Linked DNA regions of Arabidopsis thaliana. The protein of the gene in region 2 interacts with the protein of the main gene of each other region in a pairwise test. Each region holds a gene or a part of one and is shown on either strand. Other genes may lie near its edges.

Region 1 (7,960 bases), on a different chromosome or scaffold from region 2:
AAATATTTGTCCGTAGTGTACCACGCGTTGAATTATAATATGTTGTTGTCACCGACTCTAGCTAGGGCTTATAAATACAAAGACGCATAGGGTTTCACAACTTCATCACCTTAACACAATTTGTTCGCTCTCTAAATTCTTAAATCTTTCATCAAATTTGCTTCACAGTGAAAAACCTCCTCCACAAGGAACACACAATGTCTTCGAAGATGATCGTGTTGATGAGCTCCGATGGTCAGTCGTTTGAGGTGGAAGAAGCGGTAGCAATCCAATCGCAGACCATAGCGCATATGGTTGAAGACGATTGCGTTGCTGATGGAATCCCTCTTGCAAACGTGGAAAGCAAGATTCTTGTGAAAGTGATCGAGTACTGCAAGAAACACCACGTCGACGAGGCTAATCCTATCTCTGAAGAGGATCTCAACAACTGGGACGAGAAGTTCATGGATCTCGAACAATCCACCATCTTTGAACTCATCCTTGCTGCGAATTACCTCAACATAAAAAGCTTGCTTGATCTCACATGCCAAACTGTTGCGGACATGATCAAAGGCAAGACTCCAGAGGAGATTCGTTCAACTTTCAACATTGAGAATGATTTTACACCTGAGGAAGAAGAAGCTGTTCGTAAGGAGAATCAATGGGCTTTTGAATGAGCCCATGAATCAAAACCCTAACTAGCTTTCTTTTTCTTTTTTTCGTTTTTTAGTGTTTTCTTTTTAACGTCTTGATCGATTATGATAACTTTGTCTACATCTTTATTATGATTTGTGTTTCTTTTTATGAGAAAAAAACTTGAACCATGAATGACTAATCCGTAGGAAAGTTATCGGCCATGTCTATTAGTAGTTGCAATGTAGATAATAATGTGACAAACGGAAAGAATATTATGTGTGCTCTACATGGATAACAAATTTACATATAATCAGTACCATCGTCCATCACTTAGACTGCATATCACCTCTTGGGAGATGTAGACAAACAAACATTAAACTGCTAGAACACACTGAAAATACCACAATTTCTCACCAATACCCGATCGTCAACCTGACAAAAACAATTATCCATCACCAATACAACATTAAACTTCTCTATGGTTTTATTTGACTTTCTAGTCTATGAAATATACTTATGTATAGTGGAGTGCAACGATATCATTATTCGTAACTTCAATTGATCCTAGAGTTATAATGAACGAAGGACTAAAACAGAGCTGCTAATAATATTTTAGATCGATTTCAGAATCCACCAGTATCTAGAGCAAACTAATTGTTCTTCACTATGAACATCAATGTTTTACCAATCCATTATTACAAAGTTTTGTGATATCCATATAACTAGTCCACCACACACATTCAGAAAGATTCATGAACCTTATCACGAACTTACTTGATTGTCTAGCAGAAGTTGGAAAGGTAAGCTTGAGCTAAGGAGAGACCAAGCTGGACTTGAGCCTCGGTGGTTAAGTGAAGATTGTCGGACTTTAGCGGCAATCCCTTAGCATCTACACAGACCACATTCGACAGTTTCAGTCCCAACTGTGCTTCTCTCACCTTATCTATGTATCCTCCTCCCGATGCTATTGCCACCTGCTTCAATCAAAACCATCAAGATTAACCAATGGAAATCTGACCTACCGATTTCTAAAAGACAAAATCACTTGCAACAACTGATATGTACATTGTAAAAGCCTAAAATTACATAATCTGCAACTTAACTCTTTCACCAATAACACAACGTCACAACCTATGTAGATGTGACATTGGAAGCTAAAATCGCACAAAGGATAGAGAGACCTGAATAATGGGAAGAGAAGGAAGGTTGAGATCATGACGGAGGTTCTTAATCAAACGATCCATATTGTTCCCGTAGCTCTCGGCGTCATGGATGTCCAACACGTCACTCTCTCCTTGATACCACAACACCGCCTTGATCTCTCCGCCGCATTTCCTACTCTCCTCCGTTCTCTTGACCATCCTCTCGTACAAGTGGCTTCCACGCTCCCACTCTTTTATCGCCGTTCCACCGGAAGCGCACGGCACCAACCCGATCACAGCCGAATCTGTTTCCAGGCGATTCTTCACCGCGTTAGCGAACGCCATTCCTGGACCTACTCCACACACTTTACCTGTGTCAATGTCAACGTGTAGTGGCTCGTGTGCTTCTTCCCACCGGAGATCTGCGGACAGGCGGAGGATCGATGAGTTTGGTGCGCATTCCGGTGGAAGGATTTTATCCCACACCCAGCGATTGTTGTGGTGGTCTTTGAAGACGCCGCCGCGTCCTGCCATATTGCTTTGTCCAGAGAGTATGAAGATCTGATTTGGTGGAATTGGAGATTGGATCTCCGGTTTATCTTCACCGGGAGTGATAGATCCTCCTTCCATAATTTGGTATCTCTTTGGTAGAGTGATGATATCAGAATACACTATCGTGTGATCAGACCATAGAAATAAGCTATCGAGATGTCTTGTCTGAATAGAAAGTAAAGTTTGGTGGGGTGAGCATCAGAGTTGATCGGAGAAGATGATGTTGAGGCGTGGACACTAGAATCTTGGTCCGGTTTGGGTCGGTCTGTTTAAAAGTTTGGTTAGGAAGTTAGACCGAGTTAATTTTAAGTGATTCCCGTTGTGTTGGTTTAATTGGCTTCATCGGTTAAGATTCTAATTTTTATATAGCTTTTTGGTTGTGATATAACATAACAAAACAGTGAAACACATTCTAAACTCTAAAGTAAGAGTTAGTATTATGCGAGGGTAAAGTAAGCATTAAGCAACACATCTAAAACATACATAACACATAACTTTCTATATTGCCAAAACGACTTAGGCTATACGAATTAAGAAATCAAACTAAAACACAAATTTTCTCCAACACTTGCACCAATTCTTTCATGGATGGTCGCTTCTGAGGCAAGGAAGAGACACATTCAATCCCTAACCTAAAGCACGCCATTGCAGCATCCTCATGGCGAGCGACATCACTCCTAATTGCACCGTCGATTAACCTCAAGAACCGGCCATTCTCTTCCGCTGCAGAGTCGGATAAGTTTGAGAACTGATCTATATCATGATCTACCGAGAACACTTTGCTTGTGAGAAGTTCTAAAAGTATGACGCCAAAGGAGTAAACGTCCCATTTAGGGTTTGGTTTCAGGCTTGTGGACCATTCCGGTGGCTGGTACGGTGAGCTCGAAGTTGGTCCAGTGGTGTGAGATTCACGCGCTGGTGTCATGAGGCGGTCTAGCCCTAAATCGGTGATGATGGGCTCATTCTCAGCGTTCAAGAGAATGTTATTGGGCTTGATGTTACCGTGCACTTGTTTCTTCTCATTGATGTAAGATAGTCCTCTAGCCATTCCTCTTGCTATCTTGAGCCGTGCTTCAAAAGTAAGAGGGTTTTGTAATGACGACGAAGAAGATGAGCTTGAGCTTGCCTTAGCTGTTTGTGAAGGACAAAAAAACAGTGATGCGTATTTTAGAGTGCTAATGTGTACCAAATGACTTGCGTATTTTAGATATGATACTGTGTTTTTTTTTTCGTGCGCTTACAGAAACAGAGGAACTTACTGGCGGTGAAGAAACAGAGGAGGCTGCCATTGGGAACATAATCGGAAATGAGAAGTTTCTCGTCGTCTCCCCAGCAGAACCCACGAATTCTGACGAGATTTGGGTGACGAAGCTTAGCGATGGCACGAACCTCCCTCTCGAATTCCTTGGGTTTCGCAGCCGCACAGCTCTCCGTCTCGATCCGCCTCACCGCGAATGCCGTGCCGTTCTCCAGCACCGCCTTATACACGATCCCGGTTCCGGTGGTTCCCAATATGTAAGCAGATGCCTTTAGCAGAGTGTCTAGATCTAGCCGAGTCTCGCCGTCGACTGTAACCAATTGAGTTTGGGAGCTCTGCTTCAGTTGCCCACCATCTGTTCGAGTGAATGCCTGAACGGTTTGTTGATTCTCTACGTCGCTCTCTGATGTCGATGTCTCGTCGTACCTTCCTCCGGTCAAGATAATGCATGAACCGCATGTCGTTTTGGCCTCTGGTGATTCTGGGACTGTGACCTCAGTGGTGCTTGGTTTCGATTTCTTGGCTTCGTTTTTCTCCAGACAGAACTTGAAGAAGCTAAATTTGCTAGATTCTGGGTACCTTCTGCGTTTCCTGACTTGGTATACGTAGAGCACGAGTAGACCAATGAAAGCTAGACCAACTATATCTGCAACTGTGATTGCGGCAATGGTGCTTGGCTTTAGCTTGCTTTTTCCTGTCTGATTTGGTTTTTCTGTCAAAGGGTTTATTGGAGCTGTACTTCTTGGTTTAACTGCTATTGCTGGTGAAGTAGTTTCAGAGATATTTGGAGGGTTTGAAAGAGTGGAAGGAATTGAACAAAGGATCTTCAATGGCTTCCCACAAAGCTCTTGGTTACCGGAAAAAGACTCAGCCTTTTGGTTAAGTAAAGAAAGGGAACTTGGGATTGGGCCTGTGAGGTTGTTAAAGGAGAGATCGACTGTGGCATTTGCTGGAAACTTCTCTGCAAAATTTGGAGAAATCTCGCCGAGGACTTTGTTGTGTGATAAGTTCAAGTAATGCAGGCTTTTTCCTCCCAAATCCTTGGGAAGAGAGCCGTTGAGAAGATTTGAAGAAAGATCAAGAATCTGTGCTGCTTCGAAACCACTTGGAATATCACCTGAAAAGGTGTTTTTTGACAAGGAAACGACCGTTAGATTCTTCAGAAGTGAGATGTTGAGCGGAATTTCGCCAGTAAATGCGTTAGCTGAGAGATTCAAGAGCTGGAGATTAGTCACACTGTTGACACTCTTGGGCAAATCACCAGAGAGATTGTTGCTTCCAAGGGAGATACTCTGAAGCTCAGTGGCGTTGAACACCGAGTCCGGGAGTGACCCGTTGAAGAAATTGCTAGACAGATCCAAGATCCTTAGATATGGAATCGAGAACAAGTCCGGAGTGATGGAACCCAAAAGGTGTTTGTTGGGAAGTACCAAGCTTGTGACTCTGAACATGTCTGGTGTGTTAGGCTTCCCAAGCTCTGTACATGTGACACCTGTCCACAAGCATGGTGTTGCATCATCATAGTTCCAATTGCGTAGAACAGAGAGAGGGTCAGTGAGGATGGAGTATTTGAAAGTAAGCAGAAGAACACCATCAGTGTTAAGAGCTTGGAGTTGTGTGGGGACAAAAAGAAAGTGGAAGAGGACTAATGAGAACAGGAGGTTGCTTCTGTTGGAAGTCATGGTCTTTCAGTTCTTGGTTTCTCCCTCTCTAACTATTACATTTGGCTTTGCATTTTCATGGCAGAAAGAGAGAGAGATAGAGGTTGAACCACTCAAGAGATAAGTTGTTCTGGTCACCAAATCTATGAGATAGTGGAGCAATCTCTGAGATGGTGAAGGAGAGAGAGAGAGAGAGAATCTTAAAGAGCCGGAGTTGATAAAATAAGCTTTTGACTAGACTTGACATGGGACAAGGTGTAGAATCAATGATTCTTGATCATATTTATTCATTAGTGTAAAACTGTAAATGAGCAGCAGCAGCCATATTTTCGCATTTAAAATCTACTTCATTCACTAAAGTAAAAGCAATTCATGGGGGACAGAATAATTATTACCGCTTGCTTTTGGGTTATTTTTGGTTTACATGAAGAAAAGCTAATAAAATAAAGTTAAAAGTCTAAACTATTGCATTTTTTTTCTGGAACATTTCGGTCCATAGAAAGTTTAAAAGGATAATCACCGACTATTATTACGACTAAGTACAGTATGTAATTGAGTAATTATATCTCAATGTAGTACTTTCTCATCTTAGAACTTATAAGAGAAAACCCGTTATAGGTTTGCCAAAACAGAGGGTCTCGTATGAAATGAACCATACATTAATCAAAGACAAAACAAGGGACACCACAAAACTGACATGTCAGTTATCCTCATCTTTTTTTTTATTTTTTTAATAATCAAAATTTTGGAAAAATGACCTTGCAGAGTTTGATTTTTGTGTAAATTGTTCACACACTACACAAGTTGGCAAACTGAGTTAGGCCTAAACTGAATCTTTCGAAAATCGAAAAGTTAAAAATATGGTCATGAAATTATTCCTTAGTCTAAAGACTCTAAACCAAGAAAACTATTTAGCCATATTAAATGAAGTTATAGCTGAAAATAAAATTAAAAATATCTAAGAATTGAAAGAAGCCAAAGCAGTAGCACAATCAAGGAGAAAAAAAAAGGTTTGGAGAACAAACATGAAAGCGACGAGAGAATGGGCTATGACCGCATCGCTTTCAGTGTAGCCTGTGGACGAATATATAACAGAAACAAGGCTCGAAGTGGTCCATCTTATTTGGTTTTGAGTGAGTCACATAAGAATGAGAATAATTGATGCGAAATAAACGAGTGTTGTCCGAGAGAGCAACAGTCACACAAAACAATTTTGTAAATTATAGTTTGTTGATTAAGATAATAATTAGGCATAAACATAAATTATCTTAATACATATTTGCTTGCTTCATTCGCAACAAGTAGGTAGTTAGGACAATTTCTTGTCGTGTATAAGTAGCATAATAATAATATTCATCAAAGGCTTTAGTTGAGTGTTAGTTATTTAAGATACGTAATTTGTGTAAACGCGGAGAAAGTTTAAATGGTGATCATTAAGAATCTCACATGTGCATTATAAAAGGGGCCTATGGATATGATGGGGATTAAACCTAGTCAATTTCTAAAACACATAAGATAAGATTTTTTGGACGTAAGTAAAAAATACAATCTATAAAGTATATTCATCTGGCTGGTCCTAGACGTAACGATCACGGGTTGATGTCGTTTATACAATCTATAAAGTATATTCATTCTCTTTCTTGTTTTTTTTTAGGTCTAATGTTTTTTTTTTTCGTTTTCACTTCATCCTTACCCCAGTGTAAACGTCTCATCTATAAACCAAAAGCTGTAAAGTTATATAGTTATATACATCCATTCAATGCCTTGGTTTTTTTGGTCGGAGGCTGATAGCTAATAATGTGCCTATGGCCGATCTGATACCCCATAAAAGATAATGTCATCTTTTATTGTAGACAATGGATCTTAAATATTTGACTATAGCTATAAAATATGATCTTAAGCGGATTTAATCTGTCGACATATTTCATGAATATGCCATGATGACAACGTTAGTGAATCCCAAGAACTCTGCACATATTATATACGTCAAGAATGATGGTCAGATTGTACTTAAAGAATGATCTGAGAAAAAATATTTGTTTTGACACAGATCCAACATATTACTCTATATCTTAGTTATGGACTCCTCATAGCTGGTAGATGTATAGTGTTTTATTCTTTAAATTGTTTTTGAATTCTCTTTTTTTTTTTTTTTTCTAATCTGAAATTTTAGAAATATTAAACAATCATCCAACCACTTATTGTAAAGAAGAGGGAATCGTATATAAAGCCCAAAAGGGTAACGAATTATCGACTTCAAATATAAATATCCACGCCATGCTCTCTTGTCTGGTCCAATAGAGGTTCTGACATAGCACCAAGAGACATCTCTTTATCTACCAACTAAGCATTTGACTAAGTTGCACACATTTGTAATTTCAATTTGCACCACCAATTGTGTATCAACATTTATACATGAAAAAATTATAATCAACGGTCGTACATCTAAATTAGTCTTCCTTAACCTACCACTCACTTTGATAAACATGAAATCGTCAACGATGCATACTATTGTAAAAGATTCAAGGACCAAACACTCGCATCAAGTTTCTTATACCACAGCTTACAAATATTAACGAATAAAATATAATATGCAAGTCGTACTTTGTAGTTGGATTTCGCTTTCAGTCACTGTTTTTAGTCCGAAGAATTGTGTTTCATATAGTAAGACTCAAACCCGACATAAGGGCAAATATTTTAACACATATATCATATGATTCATGATTAGAAAT
Region 2 (6,766 bases):
TTCTATTAGAAGTAGATATACTTTTTTAAATCATACAGTATTCAACTTTCTTTTTTAATTCCTTAACTGATATCAATATAAGTTGATTTCTAGTTTCATATCATTTTCTTTTTTACTTATTTAGGGGTACTAAATTAAATCCACAAACTGTTTTCAATAACAGTAGATTTTAATATAGATTTTTAAAATCATTAATACAATAACAGTAGATTTCATTAGAATTTTTAAAATTAATGAGTGAATAACATAAGATTTGTAACCTTTCATGAATTTCATGAAATCCTTCCTGAATTTTGTAGAATCTTTCCTAAATTTTGTGAAATCTTTCAATAAATTATTTTCTTAAATTTAGAACGAATTTTATAAAATTTAGGAAAGATTTCATTAAATTCAAGAAGGGTTGCACGAAATATTTTTTTGTGAAATCTTTACCGAATTTTGTAGAATATTTATTTTTCGTAAGAACAAACTTTTATCAAATGAACTAGTTGAAGTTTTTTTTAGAAACAAAAACACTACAACTTAATATGAGTTTCTTGAAAAAAACATTTAAGAAAGCAATTAGAAATATACGGCCTATTATCATTATGATTATATGTACTAACACTTGCATTGAAATCTAAAACTAAGCTTCAAAATTGTATTTGAATAATAACAATACATAGATACTGAGGATAAAATGTTTTTAGTCACAGTTTGGTGGTTTCTTACACTTATATACGGCAGAAGCAGGTTGCTTATACACTGGAATGCTGTTTGCATCCAACAATCTTACTTCTCCTGGTCCAAAATACAACTCCGAGTGCCTTCGAAGGTCGAGTCCTTGGATACCAGCTTGTAACACCGATAAGTTGTCTGAATCAGGCGAAACAATCACGATTGTGTCTTCTGAGTATTGAGTCTCGAGAATAGACATGAGTTGCGTCACACGCACAAATACATCTGATACACTCTCGTTGGGGGTACCGTCGCTTATAGGAGGAGGTTTTGTCTTCATCGATATTGAGTCTAATGCATACACCTGCACAGAAGTTGAAACTTTCATACTTCAACCCGAGTTTTTGTTTGTATGTTTTAATGTGAAAAATGCTAAAATCTTACTTCTGATATAGATTCAAGCTTCTTGCCTTCGTAAGCTCCTAAACCACGAGCATCAAGGAAGCTATACTCCGGAACTATATAGCTGCGAAAACCAAGTGAACATAAAACATTCAGCGTACCATCACAAAGATTAGATTCCACAGCTAAAACCTCACTAAAGAGTAAGAAGACTAATGGACGATTTTACCTGCGACTAATTCCATTGATGGCGGCGATGATTTCAGCAGCCTGATAAGCTCTCTGTGTTATGGAAGGCCAGAGCCAACAGTTTCGGTCACAAGCTCCCATTGCTTTTAACTGTAACGCAGCTCTCAGAGTCTGCTTCTTACCTTTCTCTGATAATCCGCTATCTACCGATGTTTTGGCAACCGGGTTTGTGTTGATTATCCCTAAGCTTTCGTAATCTGATTCCCCAGCTCTCACAAGGTAATAACTTGATCCAAGAAAAAACAACAACCAAAAACACATTGTGTATTATTAGCTCCATTTTCTAAGATAACCAGGCTAAATAACTCCGGAAACGAATCAAGAACAAGAATCAAAATGTTAAAAGTCAGAGATTCACTCTTAACAGTTCAATGTGAAGAATTTGGAATCTCACTAATCTACTAAAGCTTTACAAGATCCTTTAAACTTAGTTCCAATCAAAAGGACGAAGATACGTATACATTGATGCACATCTGGTTGTATGCACAGAAACTCAAAACTAGGGTTTTGAAAAAGTAAATTACCGATTAGAGAGCCGGAGAGGCGGCATTTGAAAGAGACCGCGTGCGTTAGCTGGTGCGGCGATGGAGACGGAGAGTGATGGTGTGGCAATACATACGGAGAGAGTTTTGAAAAGGTCTCGGCGGGTAATATGCGGCGAGGAAAGTAAATTCAGAGGAATTTGGTAGGTTTCCGGCGACGGAGGAGGATGTAAGTGTGAGGCGGTGGTGACCGCCGGTGATGATGATAACATAATTCAATCGTCATCTCAAACGGTATCTCTGGTCCTCCGTGTTTTAAGGTTACAAAACCACAATTGTGAATCGCACATTCCGGTTTAGATTATGGGTTCGTTTTTAAAATCGAATCAGCTAAACCGGTAACTTTCTCGGAAATATTCTTAACCGGTCAGGACCAAAAAAAAAACCTAAAACAAGAGAGAAACTCTGTTTATTACTCTGCTCTTAAGAGGACAAATTTGTTTCTTTCCTTACAGTTTCCAAAAAAGAAAATGTTATAAAAGTAATCTAATAAACTTCGATTAAAACTAAAATTGTAACAACGTACATAGATTCAACTTGCGAAAGTTACAATCATTTCCAAAAAAAAAAACTGAAAACCCATTTCTTCATACACAAGAAACTTCATAACTTAAGGGTTCCACTTGTTCATTTTTTTTCTACATAGGCTTACACAAAATAATAGTAATAAGAACTTCACCTCACTTCTGATTCTATCTTAACCTATCGATGAAGCACCGTAGACGATGAAATAGCTGAAACTATCAAGCCTGGCCAAGTTCGATTCCAGCATTCGAATAGCGCTTTTCTTTATCTTCATCGTCATCGTTCCAGTTAGTTGTTTTATAGTAAGTTATGTATATTATAAGCTGGATTATTCCTGATAGCGATCCAAGACCATTTGGAATCTGTTTTCATGCATGGAAGATAATTAGTCCTTTTTGAGATGTAGGGATTTGAGTTCCAAACAATAAAGATATATATGAGGGTTTACCAAAATATAAGGGTCAAATTTAAGACATGCATAAATGACCCAAACGACACCGTTCATGAAGTTGGCTAATGATAGGAAGAACGGCATGTATTTCACGCTCTTTGTCTTTATCACAAGTTTCTGTTCCACATTATAACTAAACTCATTAAATGGAAATTCACGAGATAAAGAGAACAAAAGAAAAAAGTTGATAGTGTAGTATCCAATTTTTGCATTTCCGTGATTAGTTTAGAAAGAAGAGGCATCATACCATGACGGTGAGAGGAGCAGCATACATGATGACGTTGAAAACAATGCACAAGATCCCAATAAGCATTGATCTCTGCTTTGTTGTATGCAAAAAATACATTGTGCAGAAGATCACCACCGCCATGAATATTACCTCGATAACCATAGCTATTGTGATCTTTCTCTGTACACATATATATATATCATAACTTCACATATCAAAATCTATATCGATCTACATTTGAAGTAACAAACTAAAACAAACATCAACCACTAATTCACTAATTTTCAATTGGTTTAAAGGCTATCAAACCTATGTCTGAAAAGTTTATATAAATTGAATAATTTAGAATGCATATACATATTTTTATCATTCGTGTTGAAATTAGAGGTTTTAAAGGCTTACGCGGACAGGGGAGGTAGCGAAGACAAAGAAGATGGTGACGTAAACGAGTTCCATGAAAAGACCAGTTCCATTAATGGTGATGACGAGGAGACTGTCGGGCTGGACGAAAGGAAGTCCGTAAAATGTCCACATCATGCAGTTTAAAACCGTAGCTACGTATGGATCTGGCTTAAACTCGGAGACCGATTTCATCTTCCATATCTTCACCATCGTTGGTCTGCACAATTTTCACATATGTCATTGCATGCAACAAAACAAAAAAAGATTTAATCATCATGTGTGCTTACATTGGAGCGCAGAACAAGCCGAAAGAAATCACGTTTCCTAAACATATAACAGACAAACAAAGACATGAGCAAATGTTTTTGTTGTTGATTGAATTAAACTTTATGTTTGAGTAAATTGTGGAGGACTTACCAACGATTCCGACGATCGTCCGGGCGGTGTGGGGGTCCGTCATTTTTCTTTGTTTCTAAAGAAGAATTCTTTATCTTCTACAGATTTTATCAAAGAACTAATTTATATTTTATAAAAATAAAAGAAGAAGAGAAACAAAATATGTTGATGATTTCGATTCTTCTTTTCGATGATTCTTGTTTATAATTTTTTTCTTTAGTACTGCGTTTCTTTTTTGTTTGTTTCTGATTTGTGATGTGAGTTTTGTTTGTTTGATGAAATAGCTTTTTTTTTTTTGGTGTGGTTTCTAGGTTCTGTTTTTGGTTTTTTGATATTTGGATTATTTTTGGTTTCTGCTTTATGAACAGAGAAAAAAGAAAAAGTGGATTTTAATAGTGAGTCTGTGAATCAGCAGAATCTGGGTAGAGTAACAAACGCATGACACGTGGTTTCAAATTTGAGCCATGAAGCCGTTGACTCCGCTCGTACCCCATGCATGAGAAACACCCGGCTCTTCACTCACATTAATACCTCTGTCTCTCTCTCTCTCTCTCTTTCTCTTTCTCAAACATAATTACATTTACTATTACTACATCTTCATTATGTATAAAGAGTTTGTTGTCTCATATTCATGTCATAGTAAATGTTGTGTAGAGCATCTTGTATAGTATATACAATAATACAAAGCAAGTGAATATGTGCTGTAACCAAAAACTTTGTTAATAGCAACTTGTATTGATGAATAAAGAGAAGAGATTTTAGTTTTACTCTCTTTTTAGGTTTACTATGTAAACACTTTGCTATATATGAATCACTTAATATTCCTTTCTCATCAAGCTACGAAACTGCAAACGAATTGAATCAAGATGAAGAGAAACAGAACACACAAGCCTCAGGTTTCAGTGTGAGGCGCATCAATCGAAAATACTAAATTAATCTCTCATTGTTTCTTAATGTTTTCCCTTTAAATGTAGGTCGGTTAAGACTTGAGATCTAAAACCTAATGGGACATGAAACTGGGCTGCTTAGCTTATAAACTCTTTTGTATTGCCAATATATAGAAAATATCCAAAAAAACAAATGTCATAAACCCCCAAAAAATGTCAAAAACCAAAAATATATATGTGTTTTTCTTCGTTCAAGTTTAATGAAATAGAAAACTGACACCATGAAGAGAGGACGCCAAGAGAAGAAGACCTCACGATCTCCAAAACGACGACAACAACGTCAGAACGAAATCTCCGAGAGAGAAAATTCAAACGGTATACATATCCCTTTCGATGTAATAACCGATATACTCTCGAGACTCCCTGTTAAGTCACTTGTGAGGTTCCAATGTGTATCGAAGCTGTGGTCATCTCGTATCACCCTCTTGATCATGACTCGGTCATTATTCTCGCCCTCTACTTATCCTACTAATGATATATCATTCATATACCCAGACAAAGACAGTAATTATACATTAAACCATGGGCGAAGTTGGGATTTTAAGTATCAATAATTTTCGAGGACTCTTCTGTTGTTGGTCAAGCTCGATCTATAAACATACCAATAGGAAAACGATTTTATTACCGGAGGTAAAACACGATAGATGGAGCAACTCGTGTGATGGATTGTTCGGATATGATCCAGTTGAGAAACAAGTTTTCACATTAGTGGGAGGTCCAATGAAGCAGCAATGGAGGAGCCTTGACATCCAAGGCATTTGGAATCACTCTCCAGAAGCTAGGAGTAGTGGTTTATGTATCAAAGAGTTTATCTATTACATAGCACATGTAGAAAGCTGGGATGATCCCGAATTCTATGAGCTAGTGAGGTTCGACGTTAGACACGAAAGCTTTGATCGTATTCAGATGCCCATAACTCTGCAGATGAATCAGCAGCTCAGTGAAGTGAGTTTCGATGAATTGACTTTGGTAAACTACCAAGGAAAATTAGGATGCATACGTTACACCAAAGCTAGTGCAGAGATGTGGATTATGGAAGATCATATTGAGCAACAAGAATGGTCTAAGATGATGATATTTGAGAAATTAGGTATTGCATCGCTGGTGTCAGTCCTAATGGTGAGATTGTGATAATGCCAAAGACAGTGACATCTGCTCAATCTTTGTACCCCTCGTACTATGATCCGAAATGTTAGTTTGTTGTACCCGCCGGATCACATTTGTTCAACTCGTTCCCTTAGTGAATAGTAGTTTTTATAATAAATATCAATTTTGTTTTATCAAGTGTATTCCTAAAAACATTGTTAGGAAAGTAACTATCTTATAACGGATTCTAGCTCAAGATATTTATTTTTTCTAAGACTCGTTTTCACCAGCCTAAGAAATTGTTTAACACTTTTTATGATTCTCAATCGTGTTGATCGATAATTGAGTTTCTAAGGTTTTAATATTTACAGCCATGATTCGTAAAAGTGTCAAGTGTGCATATAATAACATAGAAAAAATAACAATTTCTTAATTTATATTACAAGTGTCAAGTGTGCATATAATAAATAGGACCAATCATAATCCTTTACAGCTAAAACTTGAATCAAGTTATATTATCATCACGAGTCTTTTGACCCAAGAAAAAACTTCTCTGAGTTTCGGCCCATGGAACTTTCGCAGTCGGACCCAACCCGAGATCCTGATACCCGGTACGATCAACGTTGCTGTTGTTTCCCCAGCTTCCGCCGATCAAGAAGCTCCACCGCCGTTGGTTACTCCTCCTGGGGACGAATTCGAACCGTCGATGACAGTAATCACAGCGGCGACCACGGCGACGAGCCACGTTGGTGGATCCGAGCATCCTTGAAGATCCGAGAGTGGTCAGAAATCGTTGCTGGTCCACGGTGGAAGACTTTCATTCGTCGATTCAATCGCGATCCACGACGCGGCCGCGATTGGGACGCAAGCGAGAAGTTTC

The links.
Region 1: the proteins of AtVEX1 (region 2) and AT4G34220 interact in a protein complementation assay, tested with the Arabidopsis thaliana proteins (one large-scale study listed by BioGRID).

What each region holds. Positions count from the first base shown.
Region 1 is NC_003075.7:16,378,806-16,386,765, forward strand, and holds AT4G34220 (Leucine-rich repeat protein kinase family protein), read right to left. Parts: upstream 5,664-7,960; 5' UTR 5,250-5,663; coding exon 3,569-5,249; intron 3,441-3,568; coding exon 2,848-3,440; 3' UTR 2,668-2,847; downstream 1-2,667. Other genes in the region: SK11 (SKP1-like 11), read left to right, coding at 198-656; AT4G34215 (carbohydrate esterase, putative (DUF303)), read right to left, coding at 1,398-1,589, 1,797-2,387.
Region 2 is NC_003076.8:25,227,611-25,234,376, forward strand, and holds AtVEX1 (Nodulin MtN3 family protein), read right to left. Parts: upstream 4,235-6,766; 5' UTR 3,918-4,234; coding exon 3,875-3,917; intron 3,782-3,874; coding exon 3,745-3,781; intron 3,675-3,744; coding exon 3,458-3,674; intron 3,236-3,457; coding exon 3,074-3,235; intron 3,058-3,073; exon of another isoform or gene 2,958-3,057; intron 2,944-2,957; coding exon 2,824-2,943; coding exon of another isoform or gene 2,761-2,823; exon of another isoform or gene 2,738-2,760; coding exon 2,594-2,737; 3' UTR 2,328-2,593; downstream 1-2,327. Other genes in the region: AT5G62840 (Phosphoglycerate mutase family protein), read right to left, coding at 686-1,021, 1,102-1,183, 1,289-1,534, 1,833-2,062; AT5G62860 (F-box associated ubiquitination effector family protein), read left to right, coding at 5,022-5,177, 5,431-5,931; AT5G62865 (uncharacterized protein), read left to right, coding at 6,454-6,766. UniProt on the Arabidopsis thaliana protein: Mediates both low-affinity uptake and efflux of sugar across the plasma membrane. May play roles in nurturing the male gametophyte.